3 linked regions of the Oryctolagus cuniculus genome follow. The protein of the gene in region 2 interacts with the protein of the main gene of each other region in a pairwise test. Links are inferred from orthologs where the notes say so. Each region holds a gene or a part of one and is shown on either strand. Other genes may lie near its edges. The genes, in order: AMOT, SEPTIN1 and AURKB.

Region 1 (6,077 bases), on a different chromosome or scaffold from region 2:
CTGGCAGCCCTGTAGGAATTCACTAAGTGCCCCACATTTTCAGGCTCCATTCCTGAGGCGTTCACAGTGTCCATATCAATTAGCTGGCAGGGCTCTGTGTCCCCAAAATGGTCTTTTATGCAATGAAAGTGGCAGGAAGCCAGGGCTAGTTCCCCCAGTGACAAACCATACGCTCAAGTCCTCCGTGTCCTTAGACACCATGCACTTTTTGAGAGGCCTGGCTCTAAAGCCTCAGCCATCAACTGGAACTCTGCAGTGCAGAAACAGCCTCCAGGATTATACCAGGAACTGGAATCTTTCAAGTCATACTCTCTTGTATGTTATTCTCTTACCTATGCACTTCTCTCTTACACTTGATCTTAGCCAAAAGACTTAGAAGCAATGCACTTCTCTTAATGCTTTGCTTTGTTCAGTGCTTTTACTCTGCTTGACCATGTATTTTACTTTATCCCCTATGAGATGGAAGTACAATTATTGTTCCCATTGTACATATAAAGACACTGAAGCTTAGAGCAGTGAGCTGATCTTCTGAGGTCTAAAAGTTGGTAGAGTACTTGGGAATGTTGGGATTTGAACCTAGTCTTGTCTATAATAAGAGCCCAAGCTCTTAAGCACTATGTGATGCTGCTTCCTCTTGGGTATCTAGTAGGACTAGAAAAAAGTGAATTACATGATAGGGAATATAGAATTTTGAGATATTACTGTATTTTCCAGAGTGAATTAGAGTAAAGTGTAGAATTCTGACATGTTAAAATATTTTGATTTGATTTCATCATCATTAAAAAAAATCATCTATTATTTTTCACTTTATGTTTCTGTGTGGGAGCAAACTGTTGAAATCCTTACTTAATGTATACTAAGCTGATCTTCTGTATATTAAGATAATCGAAAATGAATCTTGATGTGAATGGAAGGGGAGAGGGAGTGGGAAAGGGGAGGGTTGTGGGTGGGAGGGACGGTATGGGGGGGAAGCCATAGTAATCCATTATTCGTACTTTGGAAACGTATATTCATTAAATAAAAGTTAAAAAAAAATATTTTGATTTGAGCAAATGATGATCATTGTATTCCTTTTTCTTCTTGCTCTCCAGGTAGTTCATGGTTTCAAGAAATGGTTTCAACTTTGTACACAAGGTGCAAGCATTTTGGGGAATAGTAGCTTTGCAGAGATTCACAGAATTTCCCAACCATAACATCAACTTTCTGCTTCTTCCCTTGCCACTTCATCCCTTTCTTCCCTGGTCACAATCTCAAAGCTAAGAGAATATAGTTGACTGCCAGCAGAAAATCTGCCTGGATTTTTCTCACAGATCGTCATTCTTGTAGGAAGTCTAAAGAAGCAGGGCCAGTTCATTGTTTTCTCAGCCTATTGTTTGATTTCCTTTAAGATTAATGTAATTATACCAATATTTTCCCTTAGTCCTGATTTCTCTCTCTCTCTCTCTCTCTCTCTCTCTCTCTCACACACACACACACACACACACACACAGAGAGAGAGGCATATGTTTTCCCTTATTAATTGGTCTTTGAATTAATGGCCTGAGACATTTTCAGATGGAACATGATGGTCCCTTATACAGTTTGGACTTTGGCAAGAGAGCAGTCACTTAGGGTAGACTCATTGATTTGGTGCAGAATGTTTCAGATTTAGATTACATAGGAACCCCCATTGTTACACACCCAAAGACCCTCTTTTCAGCTCACATGGACTACCCAGTCTTTGTTGTTGACCTGTTCATTTGTTTCCAATGCTCAGGCATAGATCCCAACACTCATCTGTGGCAATAAGCTGACTTCCTTCAATGCCTACCCTTTTCCTTTTCATGATGGTCACTAGAATAAAGTAGAATGTAAACATATTCTTATTGTTTGGCCATGACCTAAAAACTTGAAGGACCATATTCCACAAGATTGGGGGTAGATATCTGTCCAGTTCTGAAGGCAAGCCTGTGTACATCTCATAGAATCTCTCAGTGACTCTTGCAGCTGCATCCATGCCAATAATCTCTTCATCTACTCTGGGAACTGAGACTTTTTTTCTTGGAAACTCCTACCAGTAAGTCACACAGAAACTAGCTGTTCCTAATGCGATTGACTTCAGCTTAGGGCTTTCCAGCAAAGCCTCCTTTACCTTGGGGTGGAGATAGCATTCATTTCTTTTGCTGCCCTCCTGTCATCATCACTGCCATTTTCCTCCCCAGGGATGCATCGGTCATCAGTCATTCTCCTAACACCAGTTATGACACAGCTCTTGAAGCTCGCATCCAGAAGGAGGAGGAAGAAATTTTGATGGCCAACAAGCGTTGCTTGGACATGGAGGGCAGGTATAAATGTCAATCTGGATGAAGATGAATCTGAGAATTTGGTGTAGAGACCAGATAGGTCAGTAGAGAAGGACACAGATATTTAGCGACAACTGGGAAGCCTGCTCACCCAGAATCCCCCTACCACCTTCACCTCTGCTAGCCTGTTACTTAGGGTTTGAGATGTGATGATCTTTACCTTGAAAATTCCTACCAATTGTTGAATTCTAAATAGTGTTGCTCTCCCCTATGCCTTCCTAATTGTGTTCCACCTGCCCTCTGCCAAAGTTCAAAGTTCAATTATTGGCATTTATACTCTGGATCATTCTTTGCAAAAAATATACCTTTAAGCCTATGATATAGCAGAATTCTTTTTTTTTTTTTTTTTGACAGGCAGAGTTAGACAGCAAGAGAGCGAGACAGACAGAAAGGTCTTCCTTCTGTTGGTTCACCCCCAAATGGCTGCTATGCCAGCGCGCTGTGCCGATCCGAAGCCAGGAACCAGGTGCCCCCTCTTGGGCTCCCATGTGGGTGCAGGGCCCAAGCACTTGGGCCATCCTCCACTGCCTTCCCGGGCCACAGCAGAGAGCTGGGCTGGAAGAGGAGCAACCGGGACAGAATCCGGCGCCCCAACCGGGACTGGAACCCAGAGTGCCGGTGCCGCAGGCAGAGGATTAGCCTAGTGAGCCACAGCACTGCTGATATAGCAGAATTCTTAATGAAAGAACATCCATTGAAACTGGGATGTAGGACTCCTGTTGCCTCCTGTAAACTTATAATCATTTATTATTACTGGAAGGCTATGGCTCATTAATAGAAGACCTCATCTTCTCATGGAACACATTGTTTTTGTTGACTCAAATTCTTCACAGCAGAGCCTGCCACACCAGTTCATTCTCTCCTACGTGGCCTTTCTTTTCACCAATACTTTACTTTGACCTTCTAAGGTGTAAGCAGCCACTCATAGATGCTCTACTGGGTGTTCAGGAAAACATTAAAAAAGTCATAGTACACCATTCCATAATATGCACTTCAGAATGAACTAGGCTACCCTTTAGTCAAAAAGAGAATGGGAAATCAAGTACTTGTAGGCAATGAGACCAGAACACAGAGGTAGCTCCAAGGTCTTTATATGTTTTTTGTCTTTGGTTCCTAGGATTAAGACCCTGCATGCCCAGATTATTGAGAAAGACGCCATGATCAAAGTTCTCCAGCAGCGTTCCAGGAAGGAGCCAAGTAAGACAGAGCAGCTGTCATCCATGAGGCCAGCGAAGTCTCTGATGTCTATTTCCAATGCTGGCTCAGGCTTACTCTCCCACTCATCCACCTTGACTGGCACCCCTATCATGGAAGAAAAACGGGAGGATAAGAGCTGGAAGGGGAGCCTAGGTAATGACAACTAAGGAAGATTATAGTCACACATTTAAAAAGATCTCCATATAGCAAGGAAAAAGGGTGACGCCCAGGTTCTAGAGAGGAAGATGTAGCTGGTCAGGATGTTTTCCTCCTGAATGGTTAACTACATATTGTAGAGCTCTGCCACACTGGGAAGTCTCATGGTGAGAACAATTAAAGAGGCCAGGGCCTGAGAAGATAAGAATTCTAAGTTCTTGGGTGGGAAGGGAGATAGCATCAGTGGCCTCTTAAAAATTTCTTCAATTTGGTCTTTGCTACACAGAATCCTTGTCCATGTCCAAAGCCCATGTGCCTCTTGTGCCATTCACAATTTCAAAATTCCAGCATTTCTTTGTTCTTTTCTCCCCTACAAGAGGACGACCCAGCATTCTACTTAATCAAAATCAATCTGGGTCGCAGGTTTTTGTTACCAGAACATTCTGATATGAGAACAGAATGTACTTTTTCCATTCCAAGCCTGTCCCTTCCATCCCCACTAATCAAAACCTCCAAAGTATTGTAGATACCATGGTACATTTTTAAAGCATGATGAAGGGAGTCATGTATATTTATTTACTTTAGCTCTTTGTGATGCTTTTTCACCTTTCTTGGTCCTCTGACACTTGCAAGTTCCTTTGCTTAGACCAGAGAAAGCATTTGGGAACCATGCTCATGTTCAGAACCATAGATCACACAATTAATAGCAGACTTATCTGTGTCTTAAGACTTCTTCCTCTGGTCATTTCCAGCTCTCTGGTAATGTGTGGTGTTGGTTATAAGTGGAACCGAGTGGAAGAATTCTTTCTAATCACCATTGGGAAAAATAAAACAGATACTCAGAACACTTCACTGTTTAATGTGTTGTGCTGGGAGTTGGATAATGAGGACCAGGGATCTTCCAAATCTAGAAGAAACCATTAGCCATGGTGGAAAATGCTGATAAGCCAACTCCTGAGTTTGCTGGAGGCAAAAAGGTTAAGAATTTAGGCCCACTCAAATTTCTCCTGAAGTCCTGAAGAGAAACAGATAATCAGATGTATGGATTAGAATACTGTATTGTTTCCTAACCTCTCTCCCTTGTTCATTTGCAGGCATTCTCCTGGGTGGAGACTACCGTGCTGAGTCTGTCCCTTCCACACCTTCGCCTGTGCCCCCCTCCACTCCCCTGCTCTCGGCTCACTCCAAGACAGGCAGCCGAGACTGCAGCACCCAAACTGAACGTGGACCGGAACCCAACAAGCCTGCAGCTGTTACTCCCATCTCTGTTCCTGCTCCAGTTGCTGCTGCCGCCACTGCTGCTGCCATCACTGCCAACACTGCCACTGCTGCCACCAACACCAACACCATGGTAGCTGCTGCTCCAGTCGCGGCTGCTGCTGTTGCTCCAGCTGCCACTGCTGTTGCTGCTGCCCCATCTCCAGCAACTGCTGCTGCTCTTACTGTTGCTGCTTCTCCAGCTGCTGCTGCTCAGATGCCAGCTGCTGCCTCTGCCACCACCGCCACTGCTGCTCCTGCTGCTGCTCTTGCTCCTGTTGCTGCTGTTGCTGCTGTTGCAGTTCAGGTTGCTCCAGCTGCTCCGGCTCCGGTTCTAGCTCCAGTTCCAGCCCCGGCTCTGGCCCCAGCAGTGGCTCAGGCTTCTGCTCCGACTCAGACTCAGGCACCAACTCCTGCTCCGACTGTGGCTCCTCCTGCATCTCCAGCTCCAGCTCCAGCTTTGGCTCAGGCTGAGGCTCCTGCAAGTCCAGCCACTGGTTCTGGATCACGTCGTTTGTCTATACCAAGTTTGACTTGCAATTCAGATAAGACAGGTAATAATTCTCTACAGCAGGGAGCTTTTGGTACGGCTCTCAAAACGCAGGTTGATTTGTGGGTACCTGCTGCTCAGGCAGAGATGGTCATCTGGACTGAGCCCTTCATGTTGTAATGGGGAGCCATTAGAGGAGGGGAGAGGGTCTACAGATGATTTCTCTTCCACTGAGACAGGAATGGGCATGAGTAGAAGCCATTTTCCCAGTAGAAGTAAATGGGGGTGAGGGGGTGGCACTCAAGGCTCAATTTACCCTTACCTCCACGAGGGCTCTAATGCTGTCTGTTTCTAGAAAATTGAGCTTTTTAAATATCCTTATAAGTATCTTCAACACCTTATTTTCATTCAGATGGCCCTGTTTTCCACTCCAATACTCTGGAAAGAAAAGCACCCCTTCAGATCCTGGGACAAGAGCCTGAAGCAGAGATGGTGGAATATCTCATCTAAATGACCTTATCAAGAGCTGGAGTTTATCAGAAACAATGCTTTTAATCATTTCCCCCTTTTGTTTGTTCTTATTTTTAGGGTGAGGATAAGGGTTGGGGGGTGGGTATGTTTTCTAAAGGGACTTT
Region 2 (6,870 bases):
AGTGTCCGGGGTCCAGGCTCCTGGCTGCGTCTCCCTGGGTGTGGCGGGGTGGGGGTGGGGGACGCCCGGGGCTCATGTGCCCTCTGACCCCCGCCCAGGTGCGGACCCTGAGGATGTCATCACTGGCGCCTTCAAAGTGCTGGACCCCGAGGGAAAGGGCACAATCAAGAAGCAGTTGTAAGTGACCGCTTCCGCTGCCCCCATGCGGCCGCCTTCGCGTCCCACTTAGGGCTGGGCACTGCTAGAGGCAGGGAGGGACCGTGGACAGGGCGACACGGCCACATATTCACAGCCAATATGGGACAAGCGCCAAAGTGGGGAGGCCGGCGTGTTTGGGAGGCATCCAGAGTGAGCCCGGCCTTCCTCACTCCCCCCCTCCCCCTGCAGCTTGGAGGAGCTGCTGACCACGCAGTGTGACCGCTTCTCCCAGGAGGAGGTGAGCAGGGAGGGGCCCCGCAGCGGCGAAGGGGCGGGCGGGGAGGGGTCGCGTCGGGATCGCTGCGAGCTGCTGCCCGCGTCTCTCTCGCAGATCAAGAACATGTGGGCGGCCTTCCCCCCGGACGTGGGCGGCAACGTGGACTACAAGAACATCTGCTACGTCATCACGCACGGGGACGCCAAGGACCAGGAGTAGGCGAGCGTCTGGCGCCTCCGCTGACCCGCGCTCCCGGCTAGCCCGAGCCCCCGCCCCGACTCCCAATAAAATTCGGCTGGTCTCTGTTTCTTATGGGTGGCGTCCCCCGCAGTGTCTGGCGGCCGGGCTGGGGTGGGGCGTGCGGGCTCGCGCCCCGCGGAGGCTCGTTCCCGCTCGCAAGGAAGCTCGGGGCGGGGGCTGGGGTGGGGGGCGCGCCGTCTTTATTCAGTCAGCGAACGCTCGGGCCCGGAGGGGCGGCGCCGGGGGACGGGGCGGGGCGGGGGCGGGGCCGCCAACTCCGGGCCGGGGGAGAGGCAGGCGTTCGGCCCGGGAGCCCGCAACAAAGCGGACGCCAGGGCGGGTCTGCCGGCGGGGGGCTCCGGGCTTAGGCGCTGGGCAGTGTAGGACCCGGGATTGGACGAGAGAGAGACCGAAGGCGGAGCCGAGGTAAGTCAGGGCCGGGGCGGGGGTCCTCAGAGAGCGTCCGACTGCTCGCCCTGAGCCTGGCTCTGCTGCATCTGGGCCTGCATCTTCTCCAACATCTCCTGCATGCGGCGCAGCTGTGCGGGACGAGAGTGCGGGCGGTGGGACCGCGCGAGGCCGGAGGCGCCCTTCCAGGAGGACCTGGGGCCTCGAGTCGGGGGGAGTGGGGGGTGGGAGGCGAGGCGCCGGCTCACCTCCTCGTCTTTCTCGCGGATCAACTTCTCCGTCTCGGCCAGGGGCAGCATGGGCAGAGGGATTTCCGTGGCGCTCTGGCGGGAGAGCTTACTGGGGGGCAGCGGGAGAGGGGCATGGGAGTCAGGGGTGTCGAGGCCGAGAGGCGGGGATCTAGCCGCCTGAGAGCCGGACCCGAGGCGCAGTGGGTGGAGAAAGTCGAAGAGCGAGGCCTGGGCGACACAGGCGGGGCCGGGGCGGGGGCGGGGGCGGGGGCTTGGCAGCGCTCACCTGCGGCTGGCTCGGGCCCCGGGCCGGGCCAGGCTCTGTAGACAGCGGGCCCGGTAGCCCTCGTAAAGCAGATCGTGCGTCACCTCCTTCAGGTCCTGCAGGTGCGTCTGCACCAGCATGCGTCTCAGGTTCAGGAAATCGCAGTGGTGTGGGTTCTCCACTGGGGGGCGGGCCAGCGAGCGACAAGAGAACTCGGGTCTGCCCAGCCTGCAGCCCTAGGGCCTCCTGGGGAGCGCAGCCCACCCCGAAAGCCCGTGTCGGGCCCCGCGGATTCGCAAGTGGCCCGGGGGTCACTCACCTTCCACGGTACCCCAGGAGTAGCGGCGTCCCCTCACTGGTCGGGTCCCGCCATCCCTCACCACCTCGCAGGAACCCACAACCGCGAAAGGGATGCTGTTCTGGAGGGCGGGGGTCAAGGGGTCACCGCTGGCCCCTGTGGGGTGGGGGGAGGAACCCCTTTCCCGGCGGCCGCTGCCCCCCATGCCCCCGGCACCTTCATTTCTGCATCCTGCCTCTTGAAGTCTTCGTCCTCATCGGAGTCGCATTCCGGGAACTGGTAGATGTTGATCTCCTCCTCCTGCAACTGGTCCCGGATCTCCAGGGAGACAGAGGCAGAGACAGCGAGGAACACGGGGCATGAGTGCAAGACAGTGCATGGCCAGAGACCCAGAGTTACACCCGGTGGTCAGAGACCAGAGAGGGACACGCAGAGACAGAGATGGTGAAATCTGACTGTAGGGAATGACCAGCACCAGAATCTCGGGCACATAGAGGTTTGAGAAACAAACAAAATCCTAAGATGAGGTGGTCACTTGTGTAAACAGCGGAGGAGGGCTCTGAAGACAGTGGGGAGTGGGGGGCAGAGCTTCATGGGGCCAGAGAGAGGTCAGAGGTCATCATGGCTATGCCCCAGCCTCCAGACAGGCCTGCGTATTCACCGGGTTCTCAACCTCCAGAGACGAGGCTTTCCCCTGGCAGCTTCGTGCCACCCTCCTCAGTCACCCCCACAGCCCGCCTAACTGGTCATCCTCCCAAACAGCCATCCAAGATCAAAGCCAAGCCAAAGCTCAAGTTCAAGCTTGATCAGGACTTTGGCTTTGCTTGGGGCCCCAAAAGGCCAGGGGTCACCAGCAGCCATACCTTCTGCTTGAGGGCCTGGGTCTCCTCAGGCGTCAGGGCGTCTGCCTTGCCAATGACAGGGACGATGTTGACTTTCTCGTGCACTGCCCGCAGGAAGGCCACGTCCAGGGGCCGGAGCCTGCAGCCAGGCGTTGGTCAGGGCCCAGCCCCGGGGTGCAGAGACATCCCCCACCCCCGCCCCCAAAGCCCTCTCCAAATGCCCCAGCTCCCAGGGGGTTCCCCCAGACCCCCGGCCGAAGGGCGAGATGAAGTAGAGGCAGCAGTGGACTCGGGAATCCTGGATGTTCTTCCGGTTCAGGCCACTCTCGTCCCGGAGATACTGTTCAAACTGCTCCTCGATGTAGCGCACCACCGGCAGCCAGCTGGGAGGTGGGAGATGGTCAGAGGTCAGAGGTCAGAGGCTGCAGGCAGGGAAGGGGGCGGGGCTAGCAAGGACTGTAGGGGGAAGAAGTGGTTTCTCAGCCTCCATTAAAAGGCATTGAGAAGGGGCTGGCGCTGGCGCAGCAGGGTGCAGGCAGCGGGTAAGGAATGGCTCTGAGTACGGGGGTCTCTCCATCCATCATCCTCTGGCCCACAATGCATGTCCAATTACTATGTGTTAATTAAAACTAAATATATGTTTAAGACTTCTGCTCATTTTATTTGACAGACAGAGATCTCTCATGCAGTGGTTCCCTCCTCAAATCCCTGCATTTGAGGACAGGGCCAGGCTGAAGCCAAGAGCCTGGAGCTCCATCTGGATCTCCAGGTGCCAGGGACCCAGGCACTTGAGCCCTTACCCGCTGCCTCCCCGGTGCACTTTAGCAGGACACAATGAGAAGCAGATTCAGGGCCCAAACCCAGGGGGATCCTGGGCCTCCCAAGTGGCATCTTTAACCACTGCACCAAATGATTGCCCATATATATATATTTTTAAATATATATTTAAAGCACAGGGCACCTTGGGCCAGATAGTCCCCAGAAACAGGTGTCACCTTTTGGGTCAGGGAGCCGGGACAGATCGGCTCTGTAACTGCTCCCTAGGTGCCCACCCCACCCCCTGGGCCCCCTCCCCTCTCCTCCCCCTCACCAGTCGGAGCAGTCCACTGCATCCCCAAAGCCAGGCGTGTCCACCAGGGTCAGCTTCACTTTAACACCGCCCTCCTCGATCTCCACGCCCCGGCGCTCGATGGTCAGTGTTTGGGCCAAGCGAGCTGTGAGGACGAGGGTGGGGGGTAGGGGTGGAGGTCTGGGAGCTGTTTAGGGGTCTGAGCAGTGCTCATGTCCTTTCCCAGCATAACCGCTGCCTCCACCCATTTTCCCAGAGAGGAGAAAAAAGGGGGGGGGGCAGTGGTTGCCCAAGTCCCCGGATGGAAAGGCAACACTTGCAACGTGGGGCCTCTCACCGCTGACTTCTGGCACCTGCCGCTCCTCGTAGAGGTTGGTGAGGAACAGGCTGTTGATGAGGGTGGATTTCCCCAGGCCTGATTCCCCTGTGGACAGCACAGACCCACTTGGTTGTTGAAGGGACAGCCGGGGGGGGGGGTGTCTCTTAAGGGCAGCCCCCTCCCCCACGCTTCCTCTGCAAACCTGCCACCATGAGTGTGAAGTCAAACCCCTTCTTGACGGACTTGCGATGCAGCTGGTTGGGGAGGGCGGCGAAACCTACGTACTCCTTGTCCTGCTGTGGGGTGGGGGGACCGTTGAAGGCGCTAGGAGTGGCAGGCAACACCCCCCGCATCCCTTAAGCTCAGAGGCTGGGGAGAAACACCCCCCTGTAGATCAACCTGGGGCTAGCGACCCTGGGGGTAGGGGCCCAGGGGCCGAGACGCCTGGGTTCCTGGGCACAAGGACTCACCATGGCTCCCCGAGCTGTCGCTGCACCTGCTGTCGCACCCCACTTCCTCTGGTGGGACAGGAAGTTGAGTGCAGCCAGCGAGGGGGAGGGCAGGGTAGGCAGCTCAGATGCTCAGAACCCGCCCAGAGCAGAGAGCTGGGGGAAGCCAAGACCAAGGGAACCTGGGGGTCCCCCCACCTGCACCCTGTTTCCCATCATCCCTCAGGCAGCTTCGGCCCCTCCATTCTCCACACAGCTTTATTTCAAGCCCCTCAGTAGCCCCCCTTACCATGGTGAGAGGCGGGGTGCGGGCAGAGAGGAAGGAAGCCAGCCGCTGTCCGTAGCAGGTGAGAGGAAGGCTTTGACAGGATGGTTTAGAAACGTTCCAGGGTGGGCGTGCTGGGCATGCTGGTGCAGCTGGGTAAGCCGCACCTCGCCTGTCAGAGTCCTTGGTCTCCTCTCAATCCAGCTGCCTGCCGACCTGTGCCTGGGAGGCAGCAGGGATGGCTCAGACAGCGCCCTTCCTGCACGTGTGAGATCTGGGTTGAGCTCTGGGCTGCTGGCTTTAGGTCTGCCTGGCTATGAATGTTGCAGGCATTTGGGGAGTAAACCAGAGGACGGATGAAAGATCTCTCTCTCTTTCTTTATTTGAAAGGCAGCCTTACAGAGAGAGAGAGAGAGAGAGAGAGGGAGGGAGAGAGATCTTCCATCTGCTGGTTCACTCCCCCAATGGCCGCAACAGCTGGGGTTGGCCCAGGCTGAAGCCAGGAGCCTGGAACTCCATTTGGGTCTCCCATGTGGGTGCAGGGGCCCAAGCACTCGGGCCATCCTCTGCTGCTTTCCCAGGTGCATCAGCAGGGAGCTGCATCGGAAGTGGAGCAGCTGGGACCCAAACCAGGATGCTAGCATTGCAGGCAGCATTTTAATCCACTGTGCCACACCACCAGCCTCTCTCTCTCTCTCTCTCTCTCTCTCTCTCTCTCTCTCTCTCTCTCTCTGCATCACTCTGCCTTTCCCAGTAATACTAATAATAAAGTCCCCAGGGTCTGAGTGGACCAGAAGCTATAAATGGGACCAAGGTGGGAGGGACCAGCAATTTTCTTGCTTGTGCGGTAGATTGAATGAATTCTTGAAAGGACTCCAAGTCTTGGGGTTCCGCAGCCAGAGACCTTGCTTCAGAACCCCCTAGCCCGGCCCAATCAGACTCCTTCAGGGCCTGCCCAGTGACCTCAAAGTCAAGTGCAAGCTCTGGGCCTGTGGCAGCGGAAGCCTCCGGGCGCTGGCTTCCTCACCTGTCTCTCATCACCCAAACGCGCTCAGCTCTCCCAGGTGCGCGCCTCGCGCCTCTTTATCCAAAGGGGCTCTGCCTCCTCCCCTGAAGTGGTCTCCGGCTGTCCCCCACCCCCGCAGAGTCATTCTGCTTCCTGTAGCCTCCCCAGCACTGTCACAGCTCCTGCCATGCCCACCCAGGCTGAGCACTCCGAGGGCAAATGCCCCATCTTCTGCTTTCTGGATTCCCCGGTGTCTTGTGCAGGGGGCCTGGCACATAGAAAGACCAAGAAACAGTATTTTAGATGCACAGGGTGCCTGGAAGAACGGCTATAGGGAGTTAGCTGGAGGCTGCAGAACATACAAAAAGAACCAGTGCTTGGTTCCGGTCCCAACTCTTCCATGCTAAATCCCAGCTGCCTGCTGAAGCCCCGGCAGGCCAGCAGATGATGGCCCAAGTACTTGGGTTTCTGCCACTCACGTGGGAGACCCAGATGGAGCTCCTGGCTCCTGGCCAGGGACTGGCCCAGCCACCCCCGCCCCTTCACTGCTGTTGCAGGCATTTGGGGAATGAACCAGCAGATGGAAGATCTCTGTCTCTCCTTCCCTCTCTGTCACTTTGCCTTTCAAATAAACAAATACATCTTAAAAAAAAAAAAAAAAAACCTACCACTTTATAAAGAACAGGAAACATATCTCTAAAAGGAGAGAGAGAGGGAGACGGAGAGAGAGAAAAAGGAAGAACTCCCTAGACCTCAGCTCTCTGCTTACTTGCTGTGTGACCTTGGGTAAGTAACATGACCTCTCTGAACCAGTTTCCAGCTTGTAAAATGAAATGCATTTCAGCTCTGTTATCGGCGCTCCATTTTCGAAGGAATGACTTTGGCCTTGGAGGCCAGCGGTTATTTATCCAACTGTGAGTTTAGCATTGAGGAGCTGGGTTCCCTTTGGTGTGTGCGTTAACCTCAGAGCCCCTGATGCTGGTCTCCTTTACCGCGGCTTCATCTGGATCCCGCCTGCCTCACCAACCCCATTTTCTTTACTCCTCTCCTTTCGGTTCTATTTA
Region 3 (6,648 bases), on a different chromosome or scaffold from region 2:
CGGTTCACACGACCCGTCAGGCTACTGACTCACAGCGGCCTCGTGGCGCAACGGTAGCGCGTCTGACTCCAGATCAGAAGGTTGCGTGTTCAAATCACGTCGGGGTCACGGGAGACACTCATTTTCGGCTAAGAGCTGTCTTTTCCAAGACAATGGAAAGAAATTCCTGGAAGATTTGTTACATGGGAAAAATAGGAACCTCAGTGTGTCTGCAACATTTTCCTAAAGTGTCTGGATTTTCTCCTAAAATACAGCTGTGGGTACATTTATTTCACTTCACTGTTTCCATCAAATCAATCAATTAATATAGTAATACCTTTAACCTCGTGAGTACGTCAGGTATCCTAACACAGAAATTGTTCAGGAACAACCCACAATTCTGGTTCCCATTTGGAGCAACAAATGTTCTCTCTTAGAAAGAATGTAGTAATAATTAATCATTGTGAAAGCAATAATACTCACATCATTCTCCTAATCACTGTTTTCATTTTTGGCGATTTACCTACTTGTCAGTGGTGCCCGTAACTTGTCCTCGGTTAATGTCATTCAATGCAATAAAATATAGCTCTACAGTCCTTATCTTTTTAATGGCCACCTAACGTCTGATGGCAGTTCTGCGAATTCTTAAACAGCTCTTCCACAGCTCGGTAGTTTGGTTTTCTGATGATCTGCACTTTTTTTCTTAGTATTTAAAAGGTTGCCCTGAGCATCTTTGTGATTCATTTTTACTCTGCCCCTACCGAATTAGGTTTGTGGCATAAATTCCTGAAACTTCCAAGTTCCCAAGTAAAAGGTCCCCTTAGCTGAACTGCCAACTGCTGCTGTCCAAAGGGCCGTACGACTTTCCCAAAGGTGATCTATTCATTATTTTGCTCTTTTTAATAATTTTTTTTCTTGTGTTCAGAATTCGGGTCCACGTTTTTTAAGTGTTTTCAATGATCTCTGATGCTCTATCTTTGTCAACTTAGCATGGAACACAAGGCATTAAATACTACTGTTAGCTGTCTCCAGATTTCTCAGAGGGCGCTAGCCTGGAGGCGTATGTATCTCCTTGCTTCTACTACGCTGAAAGTAAACAACAGAAAAACAAAGAAATGCAGCCCGGCCGCCCAGCGCCCAGCGAGCCTGGCCCTCCTTTTCTTGCCATCTCTTTCCTTGACTGATAGTGCCTTTGCTGGTGAGGCAGGCTTGGGTGGCTGGCAAGGAATGTGTCCTACCTCCCCGCCGTCCACACGGCACCCGCTGTCCAGGCTGGAACCTGGGCCTTGCCCTCCGCTCCCCTCCGCTCCGTCGCCCCTGGCCCTCCTCCTGCCAGAGTGGTCCCAATGTCTAGGGCGTCCTATAGAGCGAGACGGAGGCGGACAGGAGAGGGTGTGAGGCTAGCCCCCGACACGCCCGCTGCCCTCGCTGCCCATCCAAACTCGAGCCCCTGACTTGCGTTAGTTATTCTATAAGAAGACGCAAAGAGGCAATCCGTCTTCTCGCCTACATGTCTCTCTCTCTCACACACACACACCCATAACAAAATAGGAAGAAGTGCACATGAGAATCACACTCATTATTTCCGCAGCTGGTCACAAGGTCGTAGCTGGTATCTATAACCACCTTCCCGCTACCCCTTCCATATTACCCTCTAATTTCAGCAAACACCTCCTTCGCTGGTCGCCCCGAGCCTTTGCCCCTGGAGGGTCTCAGCCACCGCCATTTTGCATTCGTGAGTGTCGGTTAACACCTTAACTCAGGCCTGAAGTCCCACAGCATCCTGGTGGGAGCCGCGGCCCCATGCAGGAACCCGGCTTGCTGCTCCTCCTGGACTACCCTACCTACTGCCAAGCCTGCCCCGCACGGGGACAGCGGGCCTCTGGCTGCCGCCAGTGTAGACGCGAGGCACCGAACGCCTGCCTTGCTCACCAGGCTCACCACTTCCACCCGTCACTCAGCCCGTGGCAGGCAGGAGAGGACACTCGGCCCAGGCCACAGTCGCCGTTTCTTCCTGGCTAGCGCCTGCAGCTACTCGATGCACCTTTGTTCGGGTTTGAAGACCCGGTCCCCCCGCACGGGGACCCAAGGCCCGCGTTTAAATCCCGCTGGGAACCGGGGCAGCTCGCTTCACCCACGGTGCCGGCATCGGCGGCCCGGAAGGAAACGAACTTCGATCCTGGCTCACACAGTCTCCGTTTATATTAAAAATTCACACTTTTAAAAACGAAGAGAAAGCAAAAACTCCTCTCCCCGGGTCACCGGGGGAACTTTTCCCAAACCGGAACGGAGTCGGCGGCGGCTCGCCTTCCGCGGTTCCCATTGGGTCCCCTTGGCTACGTCATAGGTGAGAGATCCAATGAGAATTGGGCGAGGGTGGCGCCGGCAGCCAATGGGGCCAGAGCGGGAGATTTGAAAGCGCCTCGGCGGAGGCGCTGCCCGGCAGGTTCGGTAGTTCCCGGCGGCCTCAGGTGAGCCGGCCTCCGTTCGCGGGCCTCGGCCCGGTGCGGCCAGGGGCTCAGGCGGATCGCGGGGCTCCTGAGCGCTCAGGGGTGGAGAGAGAGGGTCCTGGAAGGGGGCTGGGCGGGTCCCGGCGCCGGGGCTGCGGGACGAGCGTCCGGGGTGTGGCCAGCCCTCTCGCCAGCCCGGACGGCGCTTCTGGCTGGATCCATCCGATCCCACCGCTGGTTTTTTTTTTTTTTTTTTTTTTTTTAATTCCCCTTTCTGCTTCTCAGGACTCTTTCCCTTCTCCGCCCAGGCGCCCTCCCCGCTACCCCGTGAGGATGGCCCAGAAGGAGAACGCCTACCCCTGGCCCTACAGCCGACCCACGGTAAGGCCACCCCGCCCCGCGGGACGCGCTGGACCACCCCCTCGGCACCGCCTGCCCCCTTATGCCCTAAGCGTGTTTTGTTCCACTTGGCCATGCGTCGATCACTGTTGGGAAGCAGGTTTTCAGGGCCCCCGGAGCCGCCTCCTTCCGGCTGAACTTGTGCCGTCTATTGGTGAGGCTTTGGTTCTGGTCTGGTGGTGGAGGGTCCATGTCTCCCCTGTGCGCCGGCTGCCTCCCTCGCGGAGCACTGAGCGAGGCCATTAAGAGCGGGTCTGAATGAGCCGCCATTGTCACTGCCAAAAGGAAGAAGTCTGTCCTGAAGTGGCATTGGCTGCCTCCCTGGCCTCATCTAAGCTCTAATCGGCTGAGCTTGCCAGTGTGCTGACGCTGTGGGGTTGGTTGACCAGGCCCTCACCTGGCCCCTGGTGTGAGGGTTGGGGGAGCCGGTGCGGTGTCATGGACAGGACTACACAGACTAGACAGTCATGCCTGAGACGGTGGCACAGGCCAGGGCCAAGGAGGTGAAATGTTAGGTGTTGGGGAGGAGTCCCCTGTTTTTGGCCCACTTGGGTTATTATTATTATTTTTTAAGGATTTATTTATTTATTTGAAAGATACAGAGAGAGAGAGTTCTTCCATCCGCTGGTTCACTCCTCAAATGCTCGTGACAGGCAGAGCTGGGCCAGGCCGGAGCCAGGAGCTTCCTCTGGGTCTCCCACACCGGTGCAGGGGCCCAAGCACTTGGGCCATCCTCCACTGCTTTCCCAGATGTATGAGTAGGGAGCTGGATGGGAAGTGGAGGGCCCATATGGGATGCTGGCACTGCAGGTGGCTTTACCCGCTGCACCAGTGCCGCCCCCTGCCCCACCTCTAGGCAGAGTGGACAGTAAGAGAGAGAGAGAGAGACAGAGAGAAAGGTCTTCCTTTTGCCTTTGGTTCACCCTCCAATGGCCGCCACGGCCGGCACGCTGTGGCCGGTGCACCGCGCTGATCCGAAGCCAGGAGCCAGGTGCTTCTCCTGGTCTCCCGTGGGGTGCAGGGCCCAAGCACTTGGGCCATCCTCCACTGCACTCCCTGGCCACAGCAGAGAGCTGGCCTGGAAGAGGCGCAACCGGGACAGAATCCGGCGCCCTGACCGGGACTAGAACCTGGTGTGCCGGCGCCGCAGGCAGAGGATTAATAACCCATTTTAACATGAGACTCTGAACAGAGTCTTGGGGCTGGAGGCCAAAACTGTCGTATCAGGGTTTTTCTCAGCACTGGGGGTGGACAGCACGTGGGAAGCTGTTTAGGCAGGAGCAGAAAAGCTGCTCGCGGCACATTCCAGCCGGGTCCCTGGGACAAAGGCGCCCTGGCGCTCCGCCTTCTCCTCCTTAGCCTCAGTCTGGCCTGAACACTCTGCCTCAGAGAATCCTGCGGAAGGAGGCTGCCACCCCCTCTGCCCTTGTCCTCATGAACCGCTCCAACGCCCCGCCCACAGGCAAGTGGCCCAGGAGGGAAAGCAGGGACTGGGGAGCTGGAGTCTACGGGACGGGTAGGGAGGATGTCCCAGCAGGGTCTCACCTCTCCCGCTCTCTCCTTAGCTGTCCTTGGGCAGAAGGGGATGGAGAACAGCAGTGGGGCACCCAACTTCACGTGAGTGCTCCCAGCCTGGAGGTGGCCAGCGGGAAGGGACGGCCTGGGACCGGCAGAAGTGGGGGAGCCGCGGTGGAGGTGGGGGGGCTGAGGGAGTGGGGAGAAAGCAGACTCCTGGGCTGCCCGGCAGGCCGGCGCTGAGCTGTGTCCCCCACTTGCTGAGCAGGCGGCCCTTCACCATCGACGACTTCGAGATCGGCCGTCCTCTGGGCAAAGGCAAATTTGGAAACGTGTACTTGGCCCGGGAGAAGAAGAGCCATTTCATCGTGGCACTCAAGGTCCTCTTCAAGTCTCAGATCGAGAAAGAGGGTGTGGAGCACCAGCTGCGCAGGGAGATCGAGATCCAGGCGCACCTGCAGTACGCCCCCGCCCCGGGAGTCCAGACTGTGGCCCCTGAGAGCTGGGTCCAGTTCCCCAGCCTGGGCCCTATCATCTTCCCTTTATGCCCGGATGTGGCCTGAGGCCTCCTGTCTCCTGCTGCAGGCATCCCAACATTCTGCGTCTCTACAACTATTTCTACGACCGGAGGAGAATCTACCTGATCCTGGAGTACGCCCCGCGCGGCGAGCTGTACAAGGAGCTGCAGAAAAGCCGCACTTTTGACGAGCAGCGAACAGCCACGGTCGGGGCGGGTGGGCACCTGGGACCCCGGCTGGGGGCTTGAGGCTGGGGGCACGCTGCCTGTGGCCGCGGGGCTGTCCTTGTCTGACTGCCTGTCCCCGCCCTCCCAGATCATGGAGGAGCTGGCAGATGCCCTGCGCTACTGCCACGAGAAGAAAGTGATTCACAGGGACATCAAGCCGGAGAACCTGCTCCTGGGGCTGCAGGGGGAGCTGAAGATCGCGGATTTCGGCTGGTCTGTGCACGCGCCCTCCCTGCGGTACGTGGCGCTGGGAAGCCGGCCCTGGCAGGCGGCACCTCTGGGCAATCCCGGTAGGAAAGTAGGAGACGCATAGTTCTGACCCCAGGTGCTTCCCACCCTTCTTTTTTTTTTTTTTTTTTTTTTTTTTACGGGCAGGGTGGACAGTGAGAGACAGAGAGAAAGGTCTTCCTTTGCCGTTGGTTCACCCTCCAATGGCCGCCGCGGCCGGCACGCTGCAGCCGGTGCACCGCGCTGATCCGAAGCCAGGAGCCCAGTACTTCTGGTCTCCCATGGGGTGCAGGGCCCAAGCACTTGGGCCATCCTCCACTGTACTCCCTGGCCACAGCAGAGAGCTAGCCTGGAAGAGGGGCAACCGGGACAGAATCTGGCACCCCGACCGGGACTAGAACCCGGATGTGCCGGCGTCACAGGCGGAGGATAAGCCTAGTGAGCCGCGGCGCCGGCCCACCCTTCATTTCTAATGCCAGTGGAGAAGCACCCCGAGCTACTTAAGCAGAACCCGCTTGGCGGGCATGAGAGAGGCCTCCAGGGTTTCTTCCCCACGTCAGCACTGCCCTCCTGCCTTATCTGTTTTAGTCCCCCAGTGGAAGTACTGGGGGGCAATGTGGAGGCCACCGGCCCACCCCATCCCCAGAGGCGTGACCTGGATGGAGCACTCCCCTGCTGCCTCCCAGGGTCTCTTGGCTGCCTGGGGGGGAGAGGGTGGATGAGCATGGTTGCCTGGTCCCAGGACCCCTGGCATGCCCTTCATCCCACAGGAGGAAGACGATGTGTGGCACCCTAGACTACCTGCCCCCCGAGATGATTGAGGGGCGCACGCACAATGAGAAGGTGGACTTGTGGTGCATCGGGGTGCTCTGCTACGAGCTGCTGGTGGGGAACCCGCCCTTTGAGAGCGCATCACACAACGAGACATACCGGCGCATCGTCAAGGTGGGTCACGCTGCCGGCGCTCCAGGCTGCAGAGGCCAGGGGCTGGGGAGGGCAGGGTTGGACGCGCGGGTCTTTGTGGCCACTGGGGTGGAACACAGGCGGTTTCTGCTCCTTTCTCCCCTCCTGCAGGTGGACCTGAAGTTCCCCGCCTCTGTGCCCGCGGGGGCCCAGGACCTTATCTCCAAGCTGCTCAGGCACAACCCCTCCGATCGGCTGACCTTGGCCCAGGTCTCAGCCCACCCTTGGGTCCGGGCCCACTCTCGCCGGGTGCTGCCTCCCTCGGCCATGCAGTCTGTCGCCTGATGGACCCTGTCATTCACTCAGTGTTGTGTGTGTGTGTGTGTGTGTGTGTGTGTTTGTGTGTGTAGGGGGAAGGAGGGAGTCTGG

Evidence for each region.
Region 1: the proteins of SEPTIN1 (region 2) and AMOT interact in binary tests that used the Homo sapiens proteins (3 or more experiments, as listed by UniProt). The two-hybrid records come from large-scale screens. The link is inferred for Oryctolagus cuniculus from reciprocal best matches to the Homo sapiens genes SEPTIN1 and AMOT.
Region 3: the proteins of SEPTIN1 (region 2) and AURKB interact in binary tests that used the Homo sapiens proteins (3 or more experiments, as listed by UniProt). The link is inferred for Oryctolagus cuniculus from reciprocal best matches to the Homo sapiens genes SEPTIN1 and AURKB.

What each region holds. Positions count from the first base shown.
Region 1 is NC_091453.1:80,571,830-80,577,906, forward strand, and holds part of AMOT (angiomotin), read left to right. Parts: intron 1-2,201; coding exon 2,202-2,324; intron 2,325-3,459; coding exon 3,460-3,692; intron 3,693-4,789; coding exon 4,790-5,506; intron 5,507-5,854; coding exon 5,855-5,952; 3' UTR 5,953-6,077.
Region 2 is NC_091450.1:6,685,952-6,692,821, reverse strand, and holds SEPTIN1 (septin-1), read right to left. Parts: upstream 4,440-6,870; coding exon 4,289-4,439; intron 4,192-4,288; coding exon 4,105-4,191; intron 3,913-4,104; coding exon 3,789-3,912; intron 3,082-3,788; coding exon 2,947-3,081; intron 2,838-2,946; coding exon 2,720-2,837; intron 2,175-2,719; coding exon 2,073-2,174; intron 1,978-2,072; coding exon 1,878-1,977; intron 1,740-1,877; coding exon 1,580-1,739; intron 1,403-1,579; coding exon 1,312-1,402; intron 1,195-1,311; coding exon 1,108-1,194; 3' UTR 834-1,107; downstream 1-833. Other genes in the region: MYL11 (myosin regulatory light chain 2, skeletal muscle isoform type 2), read left to right, coding at 99-177, 388-436, 530-634. UniProt on the Homo sapiens protein: Filament-forming cytoskeletal GTPase. May play a role in cytokinesis.
Region 3 is NC_091448.1:52,687,200-52,693,847, reverse strand, and holds the start of AURKB (aurora kinase B), read left to right. Parts: upstream 1-2,365; 5' UTR 2,366-2,450; intron 2,451-2,714; exon of another isoform or gene 2,715-2,737; 5' UTR 2,738-2,762; coding exon 2,763-2,810; intron 2,811-4,187; coding exon 4,188-4,290; intron 4,291-4,393; coding exon 4,394-4,445; intron 4,446-4,611; coding exon 4,612-4,803; intron 4,804-4,928; coding exon 4,929-5,067; intron 5,068-5,176; coding exon 5,177-5,325; intron 5,326-6,086; coding exon 6,087-6,261; intron 6,262-6,390; coding exon 6,391-6,564; 3' UTR 6,565-6,648. UniProt on the Homo sapiens protein: Serine/threonine-protein kinase component of the chromosomal passenger complex (CPC), a complex that acts as a key regulator of mitosis.